Saccharomyces cerevisiae S288C: one gene and its partners. The gene in region 3 interacts genetically with the main gene of each other region. Each region holds a gene or a part of one and is shown on either strand. Other genes may lie near its edges.

Region 1 (8,640 bases), on a different chromosome or scaffold from region 3:
GAATCCATCAGTGCTCTTATTATCCAGATCAAGGCTGAGAAGATCCGATATCAGAGAACCCGGTTCTTCGGGATGCTCTTGTTTGTATTCTGTGAATAAACGTTTCTTGAGAGATAGTCTCTCTTTATCATCAACAAAAGTTATTTTTGCTCTATATGCTGCGTAAACTGGCCGATGGTCGCTAATCATTATCGGAGCATCTGAATAAGATAAAGGAAGTAAGTTTTCCCCTTTATAAATAATTCTATCTGTCCATGACGGCGTCCTTTCCTTTTCAGAAGAATCATAAGTTCCTGTCCCGGGATCATACTTGTATGTTGGACGGAACTTGAGAGTTGGTTCTTTGAAGCCTTCAAATACACTGCCAGAATTAATACCTAGGGTAAGTTGATCAAAATGCAACAGTTTATCGATATATCCTTCTTCTTGGTTGAGCAACTCTCTTCTGACGTCTTCGTTCGGTAGATTTATTCTATAATTCATGTCACCTAACCAGAAAATCGAATCGTGATGAGGAATCATCTTAGTTCTAGTGAAAGTAATACCTCTAACTATGCTCTCGTAATCACTTCGACGTTCTTCGACATTCGTAGCTCCTGCTGCGAGATGAGAATTGACAAAACAAAATGAAGTGGCACCGTACTCAAATCTTATAGACACTGCACCTTTATTCCCAGCCATACCCCTAAAGCCAGTTTTTTTAGTAGCACCCTCCACTTGTTTGACGTATTTAGCTTTGTCTGCTTTAACAAAAAATAAAATTAGTAAAGAAGTCATTTGCTCTACTCTTAACAACAGATATTTATCATCATACTGGTTTAAGCAATCACCCACTAAGTTTTCCCAGAAAGAGCTTTTCGAGTAATCAGCGTTCAAAATCGAACCCGCAGATAGTTCTATAACTTCTTGAAGACCTAAAACAACAATATCGGGTTTAAATTTTTCACCGATTGGAAATAACCACTTTGATAAATCAACTTTTTTGGTTGCGCCATTAACATTGAATGATCCTATTAACAAGTTAATGTTGGAGGTTGATGTGAACTTATCAGACATGCTTTGTAATTTCGTACTTACGTATTCGTTTACGGGATCATAAAGTTGCACTGCTTTCTGATACGGTAACCTTCCCAACAAAGTATCGATATTTTGTTGCTTTTCTTTATCCATGAAATTGTTAATATATATTCTGCTGACCGATTTTGTGGCGTCTGATAATGCCCCAGCAAGTGACATTTTACCTTTTCTTGAAAATGAGGACTTCAAAGCATTAGTACCAGTATATATTTGGGAAATTTGATCACCGTGATCAGCCCACAGGGTGTTATGTTTAGAAACGAAATCATCATCGTCGATGAACGAATTTGAACTAATCAATCGGAAATCTTCGAGAAAAGTTCTAAAAGCAGCCAAAGAAATAATTTGCTGAGCTAAATTTGTTCTATCCAAACAATCTAAACAGTTGGTCCTAAATATGCCATGTTGTTCAGATATGTTCTTTTTTTCTCTAACATCGTAAGAATAATAGCCAGAAGATAAAAGAGAGTCCAATATTAATGGAATGAGTTTTCTGACACCGGAAAAGCCTTCTTGCGAAGTTTCTTTATGAAAATCGAATTCTGTCAAAAATATATCTTTGTTGAAGTTCAATTTTTTTGAATGAGTTAAATGCTCCTTGTATCGTTTTGAAAGTTCAATTTCAGAAGATTTCGTTGATAACAAATTAACGACATGCACAGGTCCGTACTTTTCCACTGATTTCATGATATGTTTGTCAAATACCGGTTGGGTGGCTTCAAATGATCTTGTAATTTGTACTCTTGGATTGATTAAAGAGGTACCTTGCTCCCAGAATACAGGTATACTGCCTCTAATCTGTGTAAAAGCATAACAGTATTGGCTAGAATACATAATGAATTCCGTTTCTACGAAATTGGCAACGTTTGCCTCATCATCCACACCACGTGCATTAAATCTTGTTCCTGCTCTTTTCCAGCTCTGTTTCGAGATGATAGTAAGAGCAACTTTCAACTTCTTAACGTACGAGACGAAAGTTTCCGCAAATCCACGGATAACTGTTGTTAAAAACCCCTCGTCATCCAAGATTTGTTTCAAATTTGTGTCCAAATGATCTCTGTATGTGATCATTTCTTGCATGAGAAAAGAGTTCCACATATATTCTTCTTCGTAGGTATCTGTACTCAAAGAATGCTGACCATATCCACGATGCTGTAAGGTTGAGGTCAAATCAAAATCTGAACTATAATAAAAAGATCCATTGGATAATAGTTTCTTCAATTCATAGCATGGATGTTTTGGCAAGGCGTCTTGATATTCAGTTGAAGCAGTCTCCGGCAACACAGGATAACCTGAGGAGTCGATTTCAATAAAATCCCAACTGTTGTCATTTAAACAAAAAAAATCGACAGCAAAAATTTTGTTCACAGTCTCTCCTGGGCATGGCTGTGCAACTTTTGATTTCCCAGTGATGGCACCAACAAACAGCAGGCCATTAACCTCAATGAGTCCGATAACACCAAAAATTTCGTGTGATGTAAGTCTTTTGAAGCCATATTTTTTCAAATCATTTTTTTGAAGAAGTTCAATGGCACAAAGGGGTTTATCAGATGGCTTTTTCCCAACCGGTTTAAGAACAAGAGCATACAAGTTGGATACAATGGCTAGCCTCCTTTCAGGTTCTTCTGAAACAAAGATAATCATTCTATGAAGGAGTGGATAACTAGATATTCTTCGCCCCAGTTATTTTCTTTCTTCCTCTTAAGGTACTGCTAGCTTTCTTAATATGATATTGGATATTGACTGTTCTCCCTTCACAAAGTCTCAAATTACACTACTCCTAGCTCACTCAACAGTTGCAGTAGTGCTCGAAAAATCCCTATTCGGATTCAGTTAAGATTATGCGGTGGGTGGGCCTGGGTAAAATGTTTCACGAAAGGAAATGGTACCATGGGAAAAAAAGCAAAAAAAAATAATAAAACTATAAACGAAAGAAACTTTCCACACAGACATCGAAGAAGTGTTTGGAAACTTCGCTGAAAGATGTCTTTTTAACGTGAAATAAGTTACTTTTCTGTGCCATTTATAAATAAAAATACATATATATATAACATGAGTAATCATAAGCTACTCCTTTCTATTACTCTGCCAGTAGAACATCCCCGGAATGAATAATATTATTGACAGTAGCAAATACCGCCTTAATAGATGCATCCCCAGTGTCTTCGGAGACACCAACACCCCACATATTACTAGTAGCATGATTATTGATGTCCTTTATGTAGGAAAGATTTATGAAAGATGCCGCTTGGGTTGCAGAACCAGAACCCAAGGAATGTTCAGAGTAGTTTTGAACGCTCAACTTAACATTCAGTAAATTGGATAGCGCATCCACCAAAGAAGAGATAGGACCATTTCCGTAGCCTTCGATGTTGACAACCTTATCGTTGATTTCTACCTGGCCCACTAAAGCTCTACGCTCTGGGTTCAATTTCTTAACTTCGTAATTCAACAAGGTGACGTATATATGTTCATTGTTGTTGTAGTTGTAAGTTTCTTTGAACAATTTTGTAATCTCTTCGGATTTTAACTCTCTTCCTAAGGCATCTGCATTTTTCTGTAGAGTATTGGAGAAATCAACTTGCATTGGTCTTGGTACATCTAATCCTAGAGATCTCATAATAACCCAAGCAGCACCACCCTTACCGGATTGAGAGTTGACTCTGATGACGGCTTCGTAATCACGTCCAATATCCTTTGGATCCAATGGTAAGTATGGAATTCTCCACCGAGTTTCTCCTTGAGCCTGTTTCTTGTTTTGGATTGCAAATCCCTTCTTAATTGCATCCTGATGAGAACCAGAAAAGGCAGAAACAACCAATTCACCGCCATATGGGGCTCTTGGGGGAATTGGAATCTTGTTACAGCGATGGACAATTTCAGAAATTGAAGTTAAATCTGAGAAATCTAAATTAGGAGAAACACCTTGGGTATACATATTCATGGCAACTGTAACCAAATCAACATTACCTGTACGTTCACCATTACCAAATAGACAACCTTCTACACGATCAGCGCCTGCAAGCATACCTAATTCTGTGGCGGCGACACCGCAACCACGGTCATTGTGACAATGCGTAGAAATACAGACCTTCTCACGCTCAGTAATGTGGGTAGAGAAGTACTCAATTTGATCAGCGTAAACATTTGGAGAGGCAACTTCTACAGTAGCTGGTAAGTTGAAAATGATCGGATTTTCCTCGGTAGGTTCCCAAGCCTTTTTAACAGCTTCACAAATTTCTACAGCAAATTCACCTGGCGTATCACTGAAACATTCGGGAGAAAACTCATAGGACCAACGAGTAGCTTGCTGGGAAGGGTCATCCTTGGTTAGTTTCCTAACCAGTTTGGTGGCTTCTACAGCTTTAGAAATAGCTTCCTCTCTAGACATATTGAAGACAATTTCTCGGAACATGTCACTTGTGGCCAAGTAAGTATGTATGGTAGCCCTTTTAGCACCAGTCAATGCTTCCACGGTTCTTTTAATCAAGTGTTCTCTAGATTGGACAAGACATTGAATACCAACATCATCTGGAGCGTTTTCTACAGCATACCTGGTGAAGTCGAAATCTGTTTGAGATGCAGAGGGGAAAGACACTTCGATTTCTTTGAAACCGATGTTGATCAACTTGTGGAAATATTCTTTCTTTTGAGCCACAGACATTGGGTCCGGTAAAGATTGATTACCGTCCCTCAAGTCAGTAGACAGCCAACGTGGAGCCTTTTGAATAGTTTTGTCAGGCCAAATCCTCTTGACCATTTTTGGTGGAGCAAACGCCCTATATTTTACCGATGGGTCCCGTAGCATATTTTTATAAGTCAGTTTGACGGGTGGGATAGACCTTCTTAGTTTACTAGCATGCTCAGCTAGCGCTATGAACGAATGTTTTACCATGGCTACGCGGCTAAATGATAATGTGCCGATAGTATTATCCTAAGGAGAAGACCCTTATAAGCCGAAAACAAGGATTGTGATTTCGTGGAGTAAAGTAAGGCATTATTGAAATTTAACAGCTAACTTCCAATCAAGCCAGTAAGAGGCAAAACTATGTTGTAGTTGTGATTCTGGACATCGTTTTTAATTTTTTTTTTTTTTTTTTTTTTTTTTTTCATTTTTTGGCAAGGCCGAAAGAGATGGAAAAATATGAGTCATTCACTACGACCGTTACCGGACCATGATGGCGCGCGGCACCAAAATAGACGAATGAAGTATATAACAAGCGCCATGCAGAAGGAAGAGCTAACATTAATTACTATACAGATAAATGTTTAGTGTTTGAATATGACAACATATAAAAGAAGACTGTGCCCAATGCTCTTATTTTAAATGCCTGTGAAATAATTATATGCAGTGTCATGTACGTAAAATTAAATAAAAACTAAAGTTACAAACAATATGAGCGTGATGAAATGAAGTAAATTGTGTGAAATGAATTAATATGAAACGAGGGAACTAGCCAGAAAAGCGGATTTTCTATCGTTGTTCTACTTAATCAAAGTTCTAATCTTGATTAACTGATATCATGCAAATTTAGCTTTTTAAAGCCGTTTTCAACGCTTTTTTCATTTTTACCGATCGCTTTATTGGGTAATGGCGATGAGGATGAAGATATTTGTGTCTCCACAGATGATGAAGAGGCTATCTTTGTTGATGACTGTTTTGTCCTTTCAAACGGTTTTGAACATTGCTGTTATAATGGCTACAAATGACGCCTGAAGGCTGTTTGAAAGATTTCCGTTTTTTAACAAAGTTAAGTTTTTGCAATAAACCTTTCCCCGAGTTGAGAATTCCTGTATTTTGCGGTTTTTGCAGATTTCTAGTGCTGGTATTCTTGTAGGTCGAGCTGGTAGTGTTGAGTGAGGAAGAGGACTCGCTTGGCCGAGAAGTGCGATCGCTGCATTGCGACTCATTGGTCGTGTTTGCAGACGTTTCTTGAATGATAGTTGACAAACCATTGATATCAGGCTTCTTAAGATACGAATTTCTATCTTCAGAAATATCCTCCACGCCTAATGACGAAAAAGAAGTTGTAGACTCGTTTTTGAGATCTTGTTCCGTAGCAGAGTCATTGTGGGCATATGTGGCGGAGTACTTTTTCTCATTAACAGAACTCACAAATCGGTGATACCCGTCCATTAATAGGCCCATCACATGGCTAATGGCACACAGGACGTCTACGTCGGCAGGTACTTCATTGTTAGCAAAGCACTTCTCAAATATCTCCCTAGTATCCTGTGAAAAGTTGCATTCTTTGGGGGAGTCCACGGCAATGTATTTTATGTACAACGACTTGTTCCAAACTTCCAAGAGCTTCTCCTCGCTAATACTCCTGTTTTGCTTAAGCTGGAGGAACTGATGAGCTTTTTCGAAAAATTCTAAATTTTCCTCACAATGAGCTCTTTTTAGAAATTTGTAAAACTTTTGTATTGTGTAAGGAGAACGCATCCGTTCGTGATGCCCTTTTCGCAGTTGAATCAGCACTGTATTGCTACTTTCAGCATCGCCGTCGCTGCGACTATTCTTTTCTAGCGGTATCAGTATGTCGCATAGACTTGGTACACTCGCCATCTGGCATGTGCTGAATTTTCTTCGTTTTATGTATCAAAGGTGCCTTACCTAAGATGTTTTGATATTTATATAGCCAATGTAATATTTTTTTTTTCTTCTCTTTCCTTGCCTCGTCGCTTGAGTTGTTTGCTTTTAGTGATCACCGTTGACTTTGTAAAAATCCGTTTAGTCAATTTTGGCAACTGGTTCAAGCAATGTGCAACGGAAATGGTATAGATGTGATGTGGTATAATATGTTATTAATTTGATTACTAGCGCCTTAACTATCTTTATTCAGCAAGTTTTTTTTTCATCTCCACAAAGGGACGTTTACAAAGGGTATCCCGAAAGAGATACTACATGACGACGTCATATATACGTATATCTCAAGAAAAGAATTGTTAATGATTATGTTTTTTTTTTCTTCTTTCAATTTCCTTTTTCTGATTGTGCTAAAATGAGCGCCGAGCCGCTTCGATCGGGGTACCTGCGCACTTTTCTAGCGGTTCGGTTCGGCAGTTCTTCCCGAAGCATTTAACGCAACCTTGTTCCTCATTCTCCAGCAGGTCTGTGCTTGGTGCGCGACTTTAGCTGCAACGGCGTGGGTGTGCCGCAGCGGACATTTCTTAGTTAGATGTCATCTCGGCTGGACCGGGACGCCACAGTAAGATTTCAAACTGCTGAAAATTTTCGCCAGCAGAATAGCCGCTACTATCAGGCCGTAGCGACAGGATCGTGCCCGCAATAACGTACACATCGAGGTAATTATGCATGATTTCTTTTTTTGCCGAGAAATTCTGCCATTTTTATTAATCCACGCTCTGTCCTTATCTTAGTGACAGGCAAGGATGTTCTGCAAAAGCGAAAATTGAAATAAGATAAATACTTCCGAGCCAGACACGTTCTTATGTTTATCAGGGCCCACAAGGTTCATTTAGAAGACAACGCATACAATGTTTTGTTTCTTGATAACGGTTGGCGGCCGTTAAGCAACAGTAAGGCAAATGACAGTTAACGGAAAATAACAGGGTTCTTACTTTTTACATACAGTAGCACAATCCTTTTTTTATTGGCAGTCGCTAGTAGAAATTCGTGGGGATTTACGGACTACTGAAAAAAGGTCAGTGTAGATCGTACAAAGTAGAAAAAGGAAAAAGGGCATATCGAGCCCTTGCATTTAAACTACGGAGTACAAAAAACACAGGTTGCGCACATGGGAAGTGCACTATCACTAGACATCAAAGGAAATTTTGAGTCAAAAAGAGCGGCTAAGAAACCCCCCTACCACAAAAGAATAAATGCAAAAAATAACTTATACACTCTTATACACTCTTGTTTTCGTAAATAGATAAGATTGGGTCTACCAGAAAGTCTGTGCTCAATGCGCGTTTAAGGAGATTACTAACTTAATACAGCAAGCAATACCACCATGCACACAACTATTATAATGATTAGGGTGACCTTACCGCATTTGTTACGGTCCCTCTGATGCTGGTCTGCTCTGGTTAATTGTTTGTTTGCATTCTGCATGTTATCATGTAAATGCGAGATATTCTCGTCTATGGTGGTTACTTGTTCTCCCTGTTCTTTCACTAATGAACCGAGCTGATGGAAAATAGCATTGACTTCTTGTACCGCCGTATGAATGCGTCCTATCTGTTGGGATCTTTCCTGGTGAATGATTGTTTGAAAATCTAGTTCTTCTTGGGACAATCCTTGCTGTTGTTGTTCTTGTTCTTCTTGCAGCTGTAATTGGTGTTGTCCTTCGTTATGCAGTAAAGGACTCTGCTCGTTTACTTTTATAGAAATATAACTAGACTCTGGATCTTGTCGCACGGCTTCAGTTCGCGGATGGATGTCTTTTCTTTCCTTAGATGTTCCTGGTGAAATAGGCGTTTTTAGAGGGAACAGACTCTTCCTTTGATTGTATGATTGTTGTAGGGATTGATACTTCGTTTTCAGGTTCTTGAAATCAGCAGACAACTTTCCATTTTGGTGAATGAGGATGTTGCTCT
Region 2 (3,600 bases), on a different chromosome or scaffold from region 3:
ATCAACCTGCAATATTATCGCCCTTAGCCAAGACGGATCCGCAAAATAAGCAAGTCACGAAGAGATTCGAAGTCTTCATCAAAGGTAAGGAATACATCAATGCTTACGAAGAGGAAAATTGCCCCCAATTACAACTGCAGAAGTTTCTACAACAAAAGCAGATTAACGAATTGACAGGAAACAAAACTGAGACCTTATCGCCTGTTATTGACTACCAGTATGTTGAGACGATGAAATACGGTATGCCTCCAGTAGGTGGCTTTGGCCTTGGCATAGATAGATTGTGCATGCTATTTTGCGACAAGAAGAGGATAGAAGAGGTTCTGCCCTTTGGCTGTGTGGATGATGTAAACAGGCAGTAAATTTTGCGACGCCTGCCAATGCTTTTGTAAATAAATCAGACATATACTGTAAATAATTAGAATGGCATTTAATTTTTTTTTTTTCTCTACACCAATAAACTACGCTACGCGAAAAATCCAATATAAATATTCAGTTATAGCTAATGAGAGTGTCGAAAAACCTTGAAAACAACTACTGCACACCAAATTGATACGATTAAATGGTACCCCCCACGGTAGAAGCATCCTTGGAGTCTCCTTACACTAAGTCGTACTTTTCACCTGTCCCAAGCGCGCTCTTGGAACAGAATGACTCTCCAATAATAATGGGTATCGATGAAGCTGGCAGAGGGCCCGTATTAGGGCCAATGGTCTACGCAGTAGCCTATTCTACACAGAAATATCAGGACGAAACTATAATCCCTAACTACGAGTTTGACGACTCTAAAAAACTTACAGATCCCATCAGAAGAATGCTGTTTTCCAAGATATACCAGGACAACGAAGAACTAACCCAGATCGGCTACGCAACTACGTGCATCACTCCGTTGGATATCTCTAGAGGAATGAGCAAGTTCCCACCGACGAGAAACTATAACTTGAATGAGCAGGCGCACGATGTCACAATGGCACTCATTGATGGCGTGATAAAGCAGAACGTGAAGCTCAGTCACGTGTATGTGGATACTGTTGGACCACCAGCGTCCTATCAGAAGAAACTGGAGCAACGATTTCCTGGTGTCAAGTTTACGGTCGCCAAGAAGGCAGACTCGCTCTACTGCATGGTCAGTGTGGCGAGTGTCGTTGCAAAAGTGACCAGAGATATACTAGTCGAATCCTTGAAGAGGGATCCCGATGAGATCCTGGGTTCTGGATACCCCTCCGACCCGAAGACAGTCGCATGGCTGAAGCGCAACCAGACAAGTCTTATGGGCTGGCCCGCCAACATGGTAAGATTCTCATGGCAGACATGCCAGACTCTGTTAGATGACGCCAGTAAGAATAGTATCCCTATCAAGTGGGAAGAACAATATATGGACAGCAGGAAGAACGCCGCACAAAAAACCAAGCAATTGCAGCTCCAGATGGTCGCTAAGCCTGTTAGAAGGAAGAGGCTGAGAACCCTAGATAATTGGTACCGGTGATCACCTCCAGTTTGCACATACTATATATCTTCATGTAATACTACATATGTCATAACTTCAATAACTCATACAAGTCATCTGCTACTATGCTTTGCCGTTTCTACTATCCGTGAAGCGTGACCGGCCCTTCTCACCCCCCGTGTTACGCAAAGAACAACAAGAGGTCGAGACAACCAACCGGAACGACTAGAAGAGAGGCTGTTACGTTTCCTGTTTGTTCACGCTCAACATCTTCCATTGCTGTAAACTGCATCCAGTAAAATTAATAGTTATTAGCGTACTATGTCTGCCTTTGTCAGGGTGGTTCCAAGAATATCCAGAAGTTCAGTACTCACCAGATCATTGAGACTGCAATTGAGATGCTACGCATCGTACCCAGAGCACACCATTATTGGTATGCCGGCACTGTCTCCTACGATGACGCAAGGTAATCTTGCTGCTTGGACTAAGAAGGAAGGTGACCAATTGTCTCCCGGTGAAGTTATTGCCGAAATAGAAACAGACAAGGCTCAAATGGACTTTGAGTTCCAAGAAGATGGTTACTTAGCCAAGATTCTAGTTCCTGAAGGTACAAAGGACATTCCTGTCAACAAGCCTATTGCCGTCTATGTGGAGGACAAAGCTGATGTGCCAGCTTTTAAGGACTTTAAGCTGGAGGATTCAGGTTCTGATTCAAAGACCAGTACGAAGGCTCAGCCTGCCGAACCACAGGCAGAAAAGAAACAAGAAGCGCCAGCTGAAGAGACCAAGACTTCTGCACCTGAAGCTAAGAAATCTGACGTTGCTGCTCCTCAAGGTAGGATTTTTGCCTCTCCACTTGCCAAGACTATCGCCTTGGAAAAGGGTATTTCTTTGAAGGATGTTCACGGCACTGGACCCCGCGGTAGAATTACCAAGGCTGACATTGAGTCATATCTAGAAAAGTCGTCTAAGCAGTCTTCTCAAACCAGTGGTGCTGCCGCCGCCACTCCTGCCGCCGCTACCTCAAGCACTACTGCTGGCTCTGCTCCATCGCCTTCTTCTACAGCATCATATGAGGATGTTCCAATTTCAACCATGAGAAGCATCATTGGAGAACGTTTATTGCAATCTACTCAAGGCATTCCATCATACATCGTTTCCTCCAAGATATCCATCTCCAAACTTTTGAAATTGAGACAGTCCTTGAACGCTACAGCAAACGACAAGTACAAACTGTCCATTAATGACCTATTAGTAAAAGCCATCACTGTTGCGGCTAAGAGGGTGCCAGATGCCAATGCCTACTGGTTACCTAATGAGAACGTTATCCGTAAATTCAAGAATGTCGATGTCTCAGTCGCTGTTGCCACACCAACAGGATTATTGACACCAATTGTCAAGAATTGTGAGGCCAAGGGCTTGTCGCAAATCTCTAACGAAATCAAGGAACTAGTCAAGCGTGCCAGAATAAACAAATTGGCACCAGAGGAATTCCAAGGTGGGACCATTTGCATATCCAATATGGGCATGAATAATGCTGTTAACATGTTTACTTCGATTATCAACCCACCACAGTCTACAATCTTGGCCATCGCTACTGTTGAAAGGGTCGCTGTGGAAGACGCCGCTGCTGAGAACGGATTCTCCTTTGATAACCAGGTTACCATAACAGGGACCTTTGATCATAGAACCATTGATGGCGCCAAAGGTGCAGAATTCATGAAGGAATTGAAAACTGTTATTGAAAATCCTTTGGAAATGCTATTGTGAGGTTAGAATGAAAATAAAATTCGCCAGTAAATGCGTATCTTGGAGAAAATATCAATTTGTTATTTTGTATATATAAAAAATTAAAAAAAAAAAAAAAAAAATACTCAAATACTCAAATACGTATACATTATACTGAAATACTTCGCTTGTCTTCGAATCTAAATCCTCTCTCTCTTCTGTCTCAAAATGATATAAATAAATCACGTCAAACGGTGCGTCAACATCTTTGTTTTTTCACCTCATGTGGAATTGGTTGAAATTAACAAAGGAGTGGGATATAGGATATAACGCATAAAGTTTAGCATACTACTTTCGTATATTATTGTTCGGTGAAAGAAACTAGTTCCCTCTTATCTCTCAATATTTGCCAAAATTAGCTTTTA
Region 3 (11,468 bases):
GGGGAATTCACCTTGCCCAGCCGTGGAAGTAATGAAAACTACATTCTCTTCACCAGGTAATTCTTCCAAAATAATGTCATCCATGGACAGAACAGTAGCCTTTAAACCTCTTGCAGATGCCCTTGCTGCTAGTCTCTTTGCCAAGTTTGCAGCATTACCACCGTCAGAAGCATAATAGACGTGTAGCGGTGGGCCGGACAAACCCTCCAATAACTGATCGAAGGCAGCCTTGCTTCTTTTTTCTTGTTTCCTTGTCAACGCATCACCAGCAGATTGCTTTAGATTTCTTGACAAAGATGGATCTTTTCTGGTTAATAGGGTAAGCTTATTCTCACGGTCTAAGAAGTCCTGTAATTGTTTTCTGATAACCGAAGAATCCAAGCTAAATGCCTCCTTATCTGTTGATGGATCGTCATAAACAGGATTAAACCTATACAATGGCCAGTAACCAGATTCAACGGCGTTTTTGGTTTCCTTTAAGACTTCTAATGGAGTATCATTTTCGGAATTATACGGCAAATAAGCCAAGACAATAGAAGGACCATTGTATTTAGATGCCTCTATTATTGCAGTCAATAGTTGGGTGTAAGAAGCATATACTGCTACAGAGGCAACATAGGCACTGTAATAATTCATGGCGTACAAACCAACATCTTTCTTTCTATCCTGGTTTTGCTTTCTATGGTCATATGGCTCTGAATCAATCAATAAAACATTAATGTTTTTACGGGAGGATAAAACCTGTTGAATACCTGAGTGACCCAAATCATAAGACCAGGCATCGGAGCCAATTAGCCAGCTTGATTTGAAAATAAAAGAATCGCTTGTTGGAGCTATCTTTAAGAATTTTAAGACAGTAGAGGAATCTTGATTAGATTGTAATAACTGAAATATTTCCAAACCTGTCGCATTGGCCTCTTGTAATTGAGCTTCGTCAAGATCGCGTCCATTGAATGACAACCATTTAGATAATAGTTGAACAATTTTATTTGCATCCTCGGACAAGTAAAGACTTGGATCAAGAGAGGTTTTTGCTAAGCTGATCAATTCTTCACGCTGGGCTTCTTGTTTTAAAAAGCGTCCAAAACCAAATTCTGGATTACTTGGTTCAATTGTCTCACTGGAAAATTGATTCAAAATTTGTAGATTTGATGAAAATAACTGTTTTAGCACTTTGATATAGGCGTCTTCTAAGTTCACAACTTTTTTGACAGAAGAAATAAGTTGAGTAACTTCAGCTTGTTCCTCAGCCTTTTCATTGGATTCACCTAAAAATAAGTTATTATCTGGTTCCTTCTTGTTAATATTCGATATGACGGTGTTGATAACGTTGCCATAATCATTCACATTACCAATATTAGTCAACACTACCTGCTCGATGTTCCTAGAAACTAATTCATTAAAATTGCCAAAGAAGTCCAAAAGAAATGGTTGAAATTCGTTTGATTGCGATTTCTTAGAGACACCCTGTAAAACGGCGATTTTGGTAACAGAAGATGGCAGTATTTCCAAGAACTTGGAAAAATTCCATGGTCTGTATACTCTAATCTTGATCAATCCTACGTTTGAAGGCAATACGCTACTGAATTCCGCGTCATATGGTGACAGGTTAACAATGACAGTGGTAATTGACTCTTTACCTTTAACCAGTTCAAAATTTGTCAATGAATCAGTAGCTTCTGATAATGCTACTTTAGTCTCTTCGTTAGCAATCTCCAAGGTAGGAAAGTCGATGTCTTGTTCAATAGCTGTACTCGTGCCAATTTTCTCCAAGTTAAGAAAATGGAAAACTGGGGTCAGAGAACTTGTAGCAATCTTATAAGAAGAGTCCGCGTTTGAAATTGCAGTTTGCAAATCAGAAGATATTAAGATGGGGAAAGAAAGATCCTTTAACGCAGGAATTGCGGAATAATCTTGCAAATTCAAATCCACTGTAATCACCAATGGAAGTTTATTAGGAAGAGAATATAGATGGTGGATGGATTTGACCAAAGTAGTTTCATCTGTAAAAACGGTAGTTAAAATGTCCTTAGAGAGTTGATCTTTGATGGTATTCAATGGATCTTGATTGTTCAATAGATGAGTAGCATCTGTGGCAACAGATTCTAGCCCTTTGAAGGATGAATGACTATTTTTTGTGCTAGTAGTGTAGAACACTTTATTTTGGGGAGCACTAGAGGAATATTGCGCCAACAATTGTGGGAGCGTCAAGAGGTCAGAAGCAGTCATTCGCCAATCTTTTGTTTTTCTCTGGTTCCCGTTCCCTACTGTTACTTTATTAGTATATAAGGGATCTGAATAAATATCAAGACGATGGAAAAAAAATAACAAGCAAAGGAACCTTTCTATATCCCAATTTTATTTCACATTAAAAACTATCGTCTTCCAACACTTTATATAACTGCTTGCAGCGGCCAGTAATTCGTCGCATCTCCATGACTCAAATTTTCCAGTGTCTCTTAGCAGTTAAACCATTCCTGCCTCTGTGTGGTGGTAATTGTGGCATTATGAGTTAAGAGATAATACGCACGTGATGAAATTCATTCTGTGAAATATCACGTGGACAAATTATATTACCCGGATTCATAAATCCACGTATTTTACCTGCATCTTTATTGAGTGCTTAGTAAAAGTCAGTTGGTGAAATTCCGCAGATAAAACAGCATATTAGTTGCCTGAAAATAGCCTTATGTGTTGGTTTGATACGTCTTTGTCATTATATACCCAAAGGTTTGTAGTTCATGTTGCGGGTTGGTATGAATAAATTTTTCGTATTTAGTGATTATAATACTTATTACCCATTTCGGCGGCTAATAAGGAATCTGCTAAGATAGGTAAATGTACAATACCATCAATGGCTTCTAAAAGTTTTCAAAGAAGTGGGATAAGGGATGAAAGTTGTGCGTGTGTTGGTTACTTAGGTTCTAATTTGGCTTCAATTTGAAGTGAGATGTTTTGTTTAACATTAGTTTCAAATTAACAGCTTTTGTGAGAAAATATATTTTGGATGAATAGCAGAAAATAGAAATCTGGAAATAAACAAAACAGAGCCAAAATTCTAAGCTTAATAACATGAATATTTGTTTATCTAGCATCTTGTTCCTCCCACTCTTTTTCCGAAAATATGGCTAGCCAACTTAGGTGAATGGGGAAGGGTACTAGATTCATTCATTTATTTCTATTCAAGGACAAGAACTTTTAACATAGTAAGACCTTTATGTTAGTTTGGTGCGGCTGACAAATTCATAGCTAATGTGCTAGAGCTCTTATATTGGTAATTACTAATCCTTCATTGCTATTATGACTATCACATTATAAGGTAATGAAAAATTAAATCATTGTGTACGGATTAAGTCCTTTCTCTAAAAGAGATCACGTGACTATTTGAATCACTATCTATGTTAATCATTATTGTTTAAAAGATAGTAAGTGACAGAACAACGAATTGTTTCTGTAACTACTTTTTAAGCAGGGAAATAACTCAGCACTGACAAGGGACACTTTTTAAGGATGTTCGCTAAATTGCATGGGAAGAAACAAAGACCAATTTCTTCCATCAATTCACAAACTCCAAGGACTAGCAATACTACTCACGCAAATAGCATATCCTTATCATCGGGTAATTTGATAGTAGGTTCCAATAGAAATTTAAGACAAAAGAAAGAGCAGTTTGGTTCTCAACAAAGGGCTTCCGGCAGAAAGCTGATTTCAAATAAGGAAAATGACGATAACGTCAACAATGGTGGTGACAACAATTATGACAATGGGGAACGGGTCCATCGCCATCATATTCCAGGACTGAAAATAAAGGCGTATCAAGCTGAATTAGGCTATCATGAGTCCCGATTTTCCGAGAATTTAGTGATGCTAAATCTAGTTGAGTTCCCGGATATAAAACCTGGTGATTTGGTAGAATTGAAAACATATCACAAAAATCCATCTGCATCGAACGGAGATAAGAAAATTTATTTTATTGCAAAAGATTTTGACGGAGAGACTAAAAGAAGGGCAAAAACATCTAATGTTTCAATACTTTCGGGTCAACTGCAAACTTTGTTAGATTTGCCTTCTAGGTCTAGGATATGGATAAAATTGAAACCAAACAAATTTGACTTACAGGCAGATGTGGTAGAGTTTAATATCAAAGATTGCCTACTAAATAGAGGTGATATGTGGGTTCTATCATCTAAGCTGGTAGATACATGTGTGTTTATGGATCAAAGACTGGCATTCTTAGACTCTATCAGAGGTACTATTAAGGGAATTTATCGAAATGGTAAGAAGATTGTTTCTGGATATATTGGCGAACAAACAAGGATAATTTTTCGGTCCGAATCTGCCAGATTAATTTTTTTGATTCAAATAACTGATGAAATGTGGAACTTCGAAGAAACTGGTGAACAATTATTTCAAAAGATGGTTAATTCATTTTTCCCGAAGATCTTCAAAAAATGGAAAGATGTGGACACCCACCATACTATCACTATAGCCTTCGCTATATCAATGGACTTGTCTGATACATCATTCAAGGACTTAACACCCGGCGAATCTTTGAAAAATTCACAGGATTATTTTAGGATAGTTGTAGATCAAGTCAGTATTATCCATTGGGTTGATATTATGGAAACATTAAGAGAAGAATTTATGGAAATCAGAAAAGATTTATTAAACAAGCAAACGGATAAGGGTTACAGTGTAGCGAATGGAAGATTTTCACCTGTAATCAAGTCGAATTTTCTCGAATTGGTCAATTTTGCCACGACAATTTTAACGGATCCTTTCAAGCAATTAGATCTTCGACACACTACAACGCACGTCATGATTATTTCACCAGGGTCTGGATTATTTGACGTTGATTATAGTTTATTAAGGCTAACAGGAAAAAAACTACTCTCTCTTGAAATGACGATGGATTTAATATGTCTTTCAAAAGCTCCATTGCACATAGTTCCACTTTTTAGGTACCGAGACTTTGAGAACAAGCTTCATCATTGTGTACCGCTTTGGTTAAGTGTTTTCTTTTGGAATGATCATGACAAAAAGAGTAACTCAGAATGGACTCCAAGATGTAAAATTTATGACTTACAAATGATGGGGATTACTGAAAATGAGTTAATTCGGGAAGTGGATGTTGAATATTTACAGCTGAACAAGAAAGTCAAATCACTATCCGAGTTTATGAATGATTACGACAAAAATGCCTTCGAGGTGAAAATTTTATGCGCTGGCTCTAATACGAAACAATCTAAGAAATTAAATTCAAAGTTTGATACCGTCTTCGAGAATGATGTTGTTGTGAAGGCAAGGAAAATCCCGGCAACAGCAACAACAACACACGGTAACACAAAATTCATATGGAGAGGTCCAAAAGTTGCTCTCCCAGCCATTAAGGATATTCAAAAACCAAACGTAATACCAGATCTATCAATAAAAACAATAGAGGCCTCTTTTTATGATGATTGTAATACTACAAATGATAAAATTAGCACTCCCACCACTTCTAACAATGACAATCTCGAAATGAATGACTCATTGGTCTCTGTGAGATCTGCTGATAACCAAAACACATCTTTGGCGCTGGATTCGCTCAAAGGACTAAGCAAAAGGAACTCATTGAAAGATTTTACTCAAAGAGTAATTACAAAATTTATTTCGAACATAGACACAAGTAAAAATAAAAAAATAAAGTCAACATTACTCAGAGATGATGTGGATAACTCACCTTTAGGTTCAAATACACCACTACCATCTTCTGAAAGTAAAATAAGTGGCCTGAAATTACAACAAAAAGGCCTGGCAGATGAAAACGTTATCAGTAAACGTGGAAATTTGATAATAAAGAAAAACCTATCCATTTTTGGGCTACCTAGTAATGAAATCATGAGTGGTTCACCCTCCTCATATTTAGGCTCATCACATACCAGAACATCCTCTAAACTTTCTAATATGTCAGACAAGGCTGCTTTCATTACAGAAGGGCAAAAATCAAAACATGATGACTCGAACACTTATAGCCTCACACAGCAATTGAAACATCGTATAAGTGAAACTTGGGTGGATATTAAAAGTCCTTCCATTCCGGTAAGTAGTGAATTTGCCAACGAATTATTGCCTATACGTTGGAAAGATGTATGGCCAAAATATGTGGCCAGAAAATATAGTAAATGGAGGTCTTTTACAACCCCAGCAGAGTTACCAATCACAATTTCTGATTTTCCATCCAAGGATGATTTTGATAGGAACTTCATCTTCAGAAATCACTCAGTGACTTTAAACACAGATCAAGAACAATATAATCAGACATACAAAGACTTACTTCGTGATATGATTTATATGCGACTGTTAACTGGTTTTCAAATCTGCGTGGGCCGACAAGTAGAAAAAATAGAACTTTCTAGGGAAAGTGGTGAAAGTGAAACTGTAGTCAACAAGTATTTAGATTTCAATCAAAATGATGCGTTCAAACTTTATCTAATGATCGACTCTGAAATACACAGAATAACATGCTCGTCAAGTGGAATTATTGATGTGGAGAGGTATTTGAGAAAAGATGAAGCAAACTTGTTTGATCAGGTTCCTAGTTATATTCCGTTGGTTAAAACGAGATACGAGAGCTCATTTCGTGATGCTATGATTGACCCACTTCATGTTAAAAGAGAATCTTTGAACTGGAATCAAATTGATCAGGTTCTAGCAGGTTATGGCGATAACTTAATAGATAGGAAATGGCACGGATTTCGAGCTAAATATGTGGTGTTACCAACAGATATCCCTCCCAACACATATTCTATGGTTATCAATGGTAAAAGCGAAACTTTAAACCCAGAAGAAATCAGAGTCGAGGGTTTGAGAAGATTAATTGGCTCAATAACGAGGTCAAGACTAAGAACAGAGAAAGAAAAAAAAGGAAGAAAAACTAAGAGAGAAGAAATACAGCCTGAAGTTATGTTTTACACCGGCCCGCTTTACAACTTCATTAATGAGCAACAAACATCTTTAGAAAGCTCGGCTATAAATTTTAAAGATTCAATTTTTGTTAATGATAATAACCTTTTAAACAGAAATGTAGAACTATCCAAGTTGGCGTATCAAATTCAACGTGGCGAAGATCGCATTACTTTAGTCAACAGAAAATGGCACTGGAAAAAGCATGAAAAGTGTTTTGTTGGCTCGGAGATGGTTAATTGGCTCATAAGAAACTTCTCTGATATAGATACTCGAGAAGATGCAATTAAATATGGGCAGAAGGTGATGAAAGAGGGATTATTTGTTCACGTTTTAAATAAGCACAATTTTTTGGACGGGCACTACTTTTACCAGTTCTCACCTGAATACGTAATGGACACTAATAAACTAGAAAAAACAAACTCCCATCGCTCTACATTATCCGATCCAAAGCAGATGTTGAGAAAAGCATCCACTGGTAGCTCAAACGATCCAAGCGCTATGACTCCTTTTTCTTCAGTAGTACCTGCTATAAGCGCTTCGAATGCTTCAGTTGCTGACGCCAAAGAGCCATCACGCCCTATTTTAATGCTGAGTAACTCTCTTGTTATCGATGTTGATCCCGCGGGAAAATCCTCGAAACAAGAATCGTGTACAGTCCATTATGACAGAGTTCATAACCCCGACCACTGTTTTCACATAAGATTGGAATGGTTGACTACCACCCCAAAATTGATCGATGATTTGGTTGGGAACTGGTCAAGGTTATGCGAAAGGTACGGTTTGAAAATGATTGAAATTCCTTGGGAAGAACTTTGTACTATCCCTTCGGTCAATCCATTTCACTCTTTTGTGGAAATTAAGTTAGCTATCAATCCTTGGGAAGATCCTGAGTTCAAGGATAGGGAGCTTTTCGCTAAAAGCAAATTCTACTACCACGTTTATCTTTTAAAGGCATCTGGGTTTTTATTAGACAATAGGGCATCCAAATTTTTACAAAATCAAGATATAGAGTTTGACATCATGTATTCATGGGGCAAACCACAGTTCAAATATGTTCAATATATTCATCATACGGGTGCTTACGTCGCGGAATTGAGGGAAAATGGCTGCCTATTTTTAGCTCCTAACAACATTTATATATCCAGAGTGAATCCGGGAAACATAATCGGGAAAATTCATTCTGCTTCAAGCTCTTCATTAGATGCTCAAAAAGTGATCCTAAATTTCAAATCAACTTGCTTGGACTATCAGAAGTTAAGGTCAATTTTCCTTGACGCAAAGGAAATGTGGATTACAGGAAAGATTGTAGAAGATTGAGTAGCCCCATGACATGGATGAGTTTCTTCACAAAGTAAATAATATTCGAACGTGGATAGTAAAGCATAATGTTATCTATTTATATATAAATATACCTATGTTTTTATATGTCTGTTTACTGATCTAAAGTCTTTGAGCAATCTTGATAACATCACCCAAAACACCAGCGGCAGTAACGGCAGCACCGGCACCGGCACCTTGAATGACAACAGGATTGGTGTAACGCTTAGTCTTGATGGAAATAACGTTATCTGATCCCTTCAATGATGCGAATGGGTGTGAGTAATCGTACTTTTCAATTCCTACAGACACAGATTTGGTGGCAACATCGACTTTACCAATGAATCTCAATACCTTATTTTCAGTGGCAGCTTCCTTCTTCAATTGAGTCAAATCTTTATCGTAATCAGATAATTTTTCCAAGAATTCATCAGCAGACTTGACAGATTCCAATGGTTTTGGAATCAAAGACTGGACAGGGAAGGAAGTTGGAGATTCAACTTCCACACCAGATATCCTACCAACAATGGTAACCTTTCTAGCAACATCCAACCCATTCAAATCATCTCTTGGATCTGGTTCAGTATAACCCAATTTTTTAGCAACTTTGACAACATCAGAGAATTTGACGTCGTTAGCTTGACTAGTGGAGAACTCGTTGAAAATATAAGATAGAGTACCAGAGAAGATACCTTCAATTTTTTCAACTTCGTCACCGGTTTGAATAATTTCTCTTAAGAAACTGATGATAGGCAAACCAGCACCGACGGTAGCTTCATGATAGACAAAACCGTTAGTTGGCTTATTTGAGAAAAGAGCCTTCCAGGTAGCCAAATCAGAGGAAAAGGCCTTCTTGTTTGGAGTAGCAATGGAAATACCATTTTCGACAAACTTAGTGTAAAAACCAGCAATGTAAGCGCTGGAAGTGTTATCAACCAAAATGACTGGCTTAGGTGAAGTCTTCAAATGAGCAATTAAATCATCCAAAGGCAACGTTTTAGTAGTGGAGGCTGCTAAAGCAGCCTTCCAATCAGAACCAACATTTAATGGAGAAAAGTCCTTGGAGATTAAAGAACGCTCAGCTTCAGCCAAAAGAACTAGATTGTAAGTAATGGTAGACTTCATGGCTAACAATTGATCCAAGAAAGCTGAACCAACAACACCGGCACCGATAACGGCAACATTAACAACTTTAGTGCTCATTTTTTTTTTATTATTCGATTGATGATACTATCTACGTTCTTAAAACAGTCCTGAGTACACACACAGAAGATTTAGCTTCAACAAATTGTCTATCGCTAACCGCAATATTTACATATTCTTTATACATTTCTGTTCCATTCAACCCAACTTTACCACCAGGGCACACTTCTTCCAAAATATGGTCATCAACACACCCGTACACCACCATGTGCGTTATTGAAAAACTCACGTGATCTTATCCACTAATAGCCTCACTCTATCGAAGACTTCCTTCTTTGTAACACGTTTCTTAATTGCACTTGGCTTAGAAGTAGGGTCTGGAGTGCTTTTTGATGTCACAGAACCTGATGACGGTAGTGCTGGATTGTTTTCATCGTTCACGTCTGTGAGGGATTGATCCTGTCGAGCTAGAGGAAAATAGAGATACTCGAAATAAATGCCCAAGCAAACGCTGTCAAATGCAATTCCGCTATGTCCCTTTTTCAACTGGAAAGCAAGTTTTAACCCGGATGATATTTCTTCAGGGTACTTTCCTTGGTCGAAAACTTGGTTCAGTTGCTCACTAATCTTCAGGAATTCTTGGTAGTTCAAGGTTGGAAGGATTTGCTCCACGTAGCTCTTGTCTTGCAATTGCAGCTTGATTTTGGCACTTTGCGTGTACACATTAATGGCACGCTCTAATAGTTCGTTTACGTTCACAGTTCCAGAACCAAATCGCCTTAGCTTTTTTATAACAAGACCTGTTGTATTGAAGTCTTTTATTGCGAAGAGTAAATCCAAATACAAAACCAGGTACTGGTAAGTATAGATGAAATGTTTCCCTGGCCTTTCAAAATCTGGTTTCCATATATTGACCAAGTTTTTGTTTATACTTTTTGCGGATATTAAGCTATCCATCTCCTCCAAAGCACCGTTCACATCACCCAAATCGTCAAACAATATGCGCGCTATTCTGTAACGAGGTCTGTGCTGCCATTTTTTTTTATCAACAGATAGTAAATGGCGAAGTAGTCTTATGATTTTGTCAAAAAAGAATTTTTCTTGATAATCCCATGCAAGACCTTCGTCGTTGACCCAAAATTCCTCTTGTTCCTGGAAGAATTGGTTATCTTTAGACAGTAAGGTCAGAGCTTCGTTAACACCTATGACGCCTCTTTTTACCCACTTGTAACAAGCATTAACTAACAGATAATGGGGTTCTATGATCGGATCTTTAGCAGGTGATGACTCATAAGCTATTTGGCAACCCTGAGTAATATATTTGGCAACTAATTTACAATTATTACCACCATCTGTTTTGAAAAAGAACTTGGCCAGATTGTAAAAACTAGACCAATTCAACACGAATACATCGTCCTGTGACTTGATATCGCCGGATAAAGAACAAGCCCTATTAAAACATAAAAATATACTTTGCTCGATGTTAAAGTCTGAGATTGTGGTGATTTTCTTAGTTTTTTCCATTACTACTTCACCGGTTTCAGACAATCTCATTGTATTCTCAGCACTGCTTTTCCAGCTAAAACAAAGCTTATTCATGGGATTATAGTAGCCGCTAATCAGCATAGATCCTAAGTCATCCAATGCCTCCAATATAATCTTTTTATCGTCAATAGTTCGATCCAACTTACTATAATAAATGGAAATGGCCATTAAATAACACAATATTGCCTTTCTTTGAGTCAAAGCAATAACATCTTTTTTCTCAGGGACAGTGATCTTATCTGAGGTCCATATTAAATCATCTTCAACAATATAACTGTAACACTTTCCGAGTAATATCCAACTTTCGAAACGGTTTGTGTTGTATATAATGTCATTCTTTAACATTCTGATAATGGAGTCTAATTCAGAAGGTCTTGCTTGCATAGACTTCTTTCTCATTTTATACAAACCCAGGGACTGTAAGCTGGATACGTAGAACAAGCCGGCTGTCATGCCTTGCTGTAACTCGTCGTTTGGAGAAGTTAAATACAAACTTGTTGCACCAGAAAATGTAT

Evidence for each region.
Region 1: mutations in HOM6 (region 3) and INP53 together harm fitness more than expected from each alone (negative genetic interaction), as found in Saccharomyces cerevisiae (3 studies listed by BioGRID).
Region 2: mutations in HOM6 (region 3) and LAT1 together harm fitness more than expected from each alone (negative genetic interaction), as found in Saccharomyces cerevisiae (3 studies listed by BioGRID).

What each region holds. Positions count from the first base shown.
Region 1 is NC_001147.6:519,359-527,998, reverse strand, and holds the start of INP53 (phosphatidylinositol-3-/phosphoinositide 5-phosphatase INP53), read right to left. Parts: upstream 2,722-8,640; coding exon 1-2,721. Other genes in the region: 2-isopropylmalate synthase LEU9, read right to left, coding at 3,158-4,972; GTPase-activating protein RGS2, read right to left, coding at 5,717-6,646; SNAP receptor VAM3, read right to left, coding at 8,027-8,640. UniProt on the Saccharomyces cerevisiae protein: Dephosphorylates a number of phosphatidylinositols (PIs) like phosphatidylinositol 4,5-bisphosphate (PtdIns(4,5)P2), but also phosphatidylinositol 3-phosphate (PtdIns(3)P), phosphatidylinositol 4-phosphate (PtdIns(4)P), and phosphatidylinositol 3,5-bisphosphate (PtdIns(3,5)P2).
Region 2 is NC_001146.8:489,755-493,354, forward strand, and holds LAT1 (dihydrolipoyllysine-residue acetyltransferase), read left to right. Parts: upstream 1-1,768; coding exon 1,769-3,217; downstream 3,218-3,600. Other genes in the region: lysine--tRNA ligase MSK1, read left to right, coding at 1-362; ribonuclease H2 catalytic subunit RNH201, read left to right, coding at 563-1,486. UniProt on the Saccharomyces cerevisiae protein: The pyruvate dehydrogenase complex catalyzes the overall conversion of pyruvate to acetyl-CoA and CO(2).
Region 3 is NC_001142.9:681,057-692,524, forward strand, and holds HOM6 (homoserine dehydrogenase), read right to left. Parts: upstream 9,469-11,468; coding exon 8,389-9,468; downstream 1-8,388. Other genes in the region: MET5 (sulfite reductase (NADPH) subunit beta), read right to left, coding at 1-2,229; GTPase-activating protein IML1, read left to right, coding at 3,511-8,265; HIR3 (Hir3p), read right to left, coding at 9,694-11,468. UniProt on the Saccharomyces cerevisiae protein: Catalyzes the conversion of L-aspartate-beta-semialdehyde (L-Asa) to L-homoserine (L-Hse), the third step in the biosynthesis of amino acids that derive from aspartate (the aspartate family of amino acids), including methioinine and threonine, the latter of which is a precursor to isoleucine; production of homoserine leads to a branch-point in the pathway as it can either be O-phosphorylated for processing to threonine, or O-acylated for processing to methionine.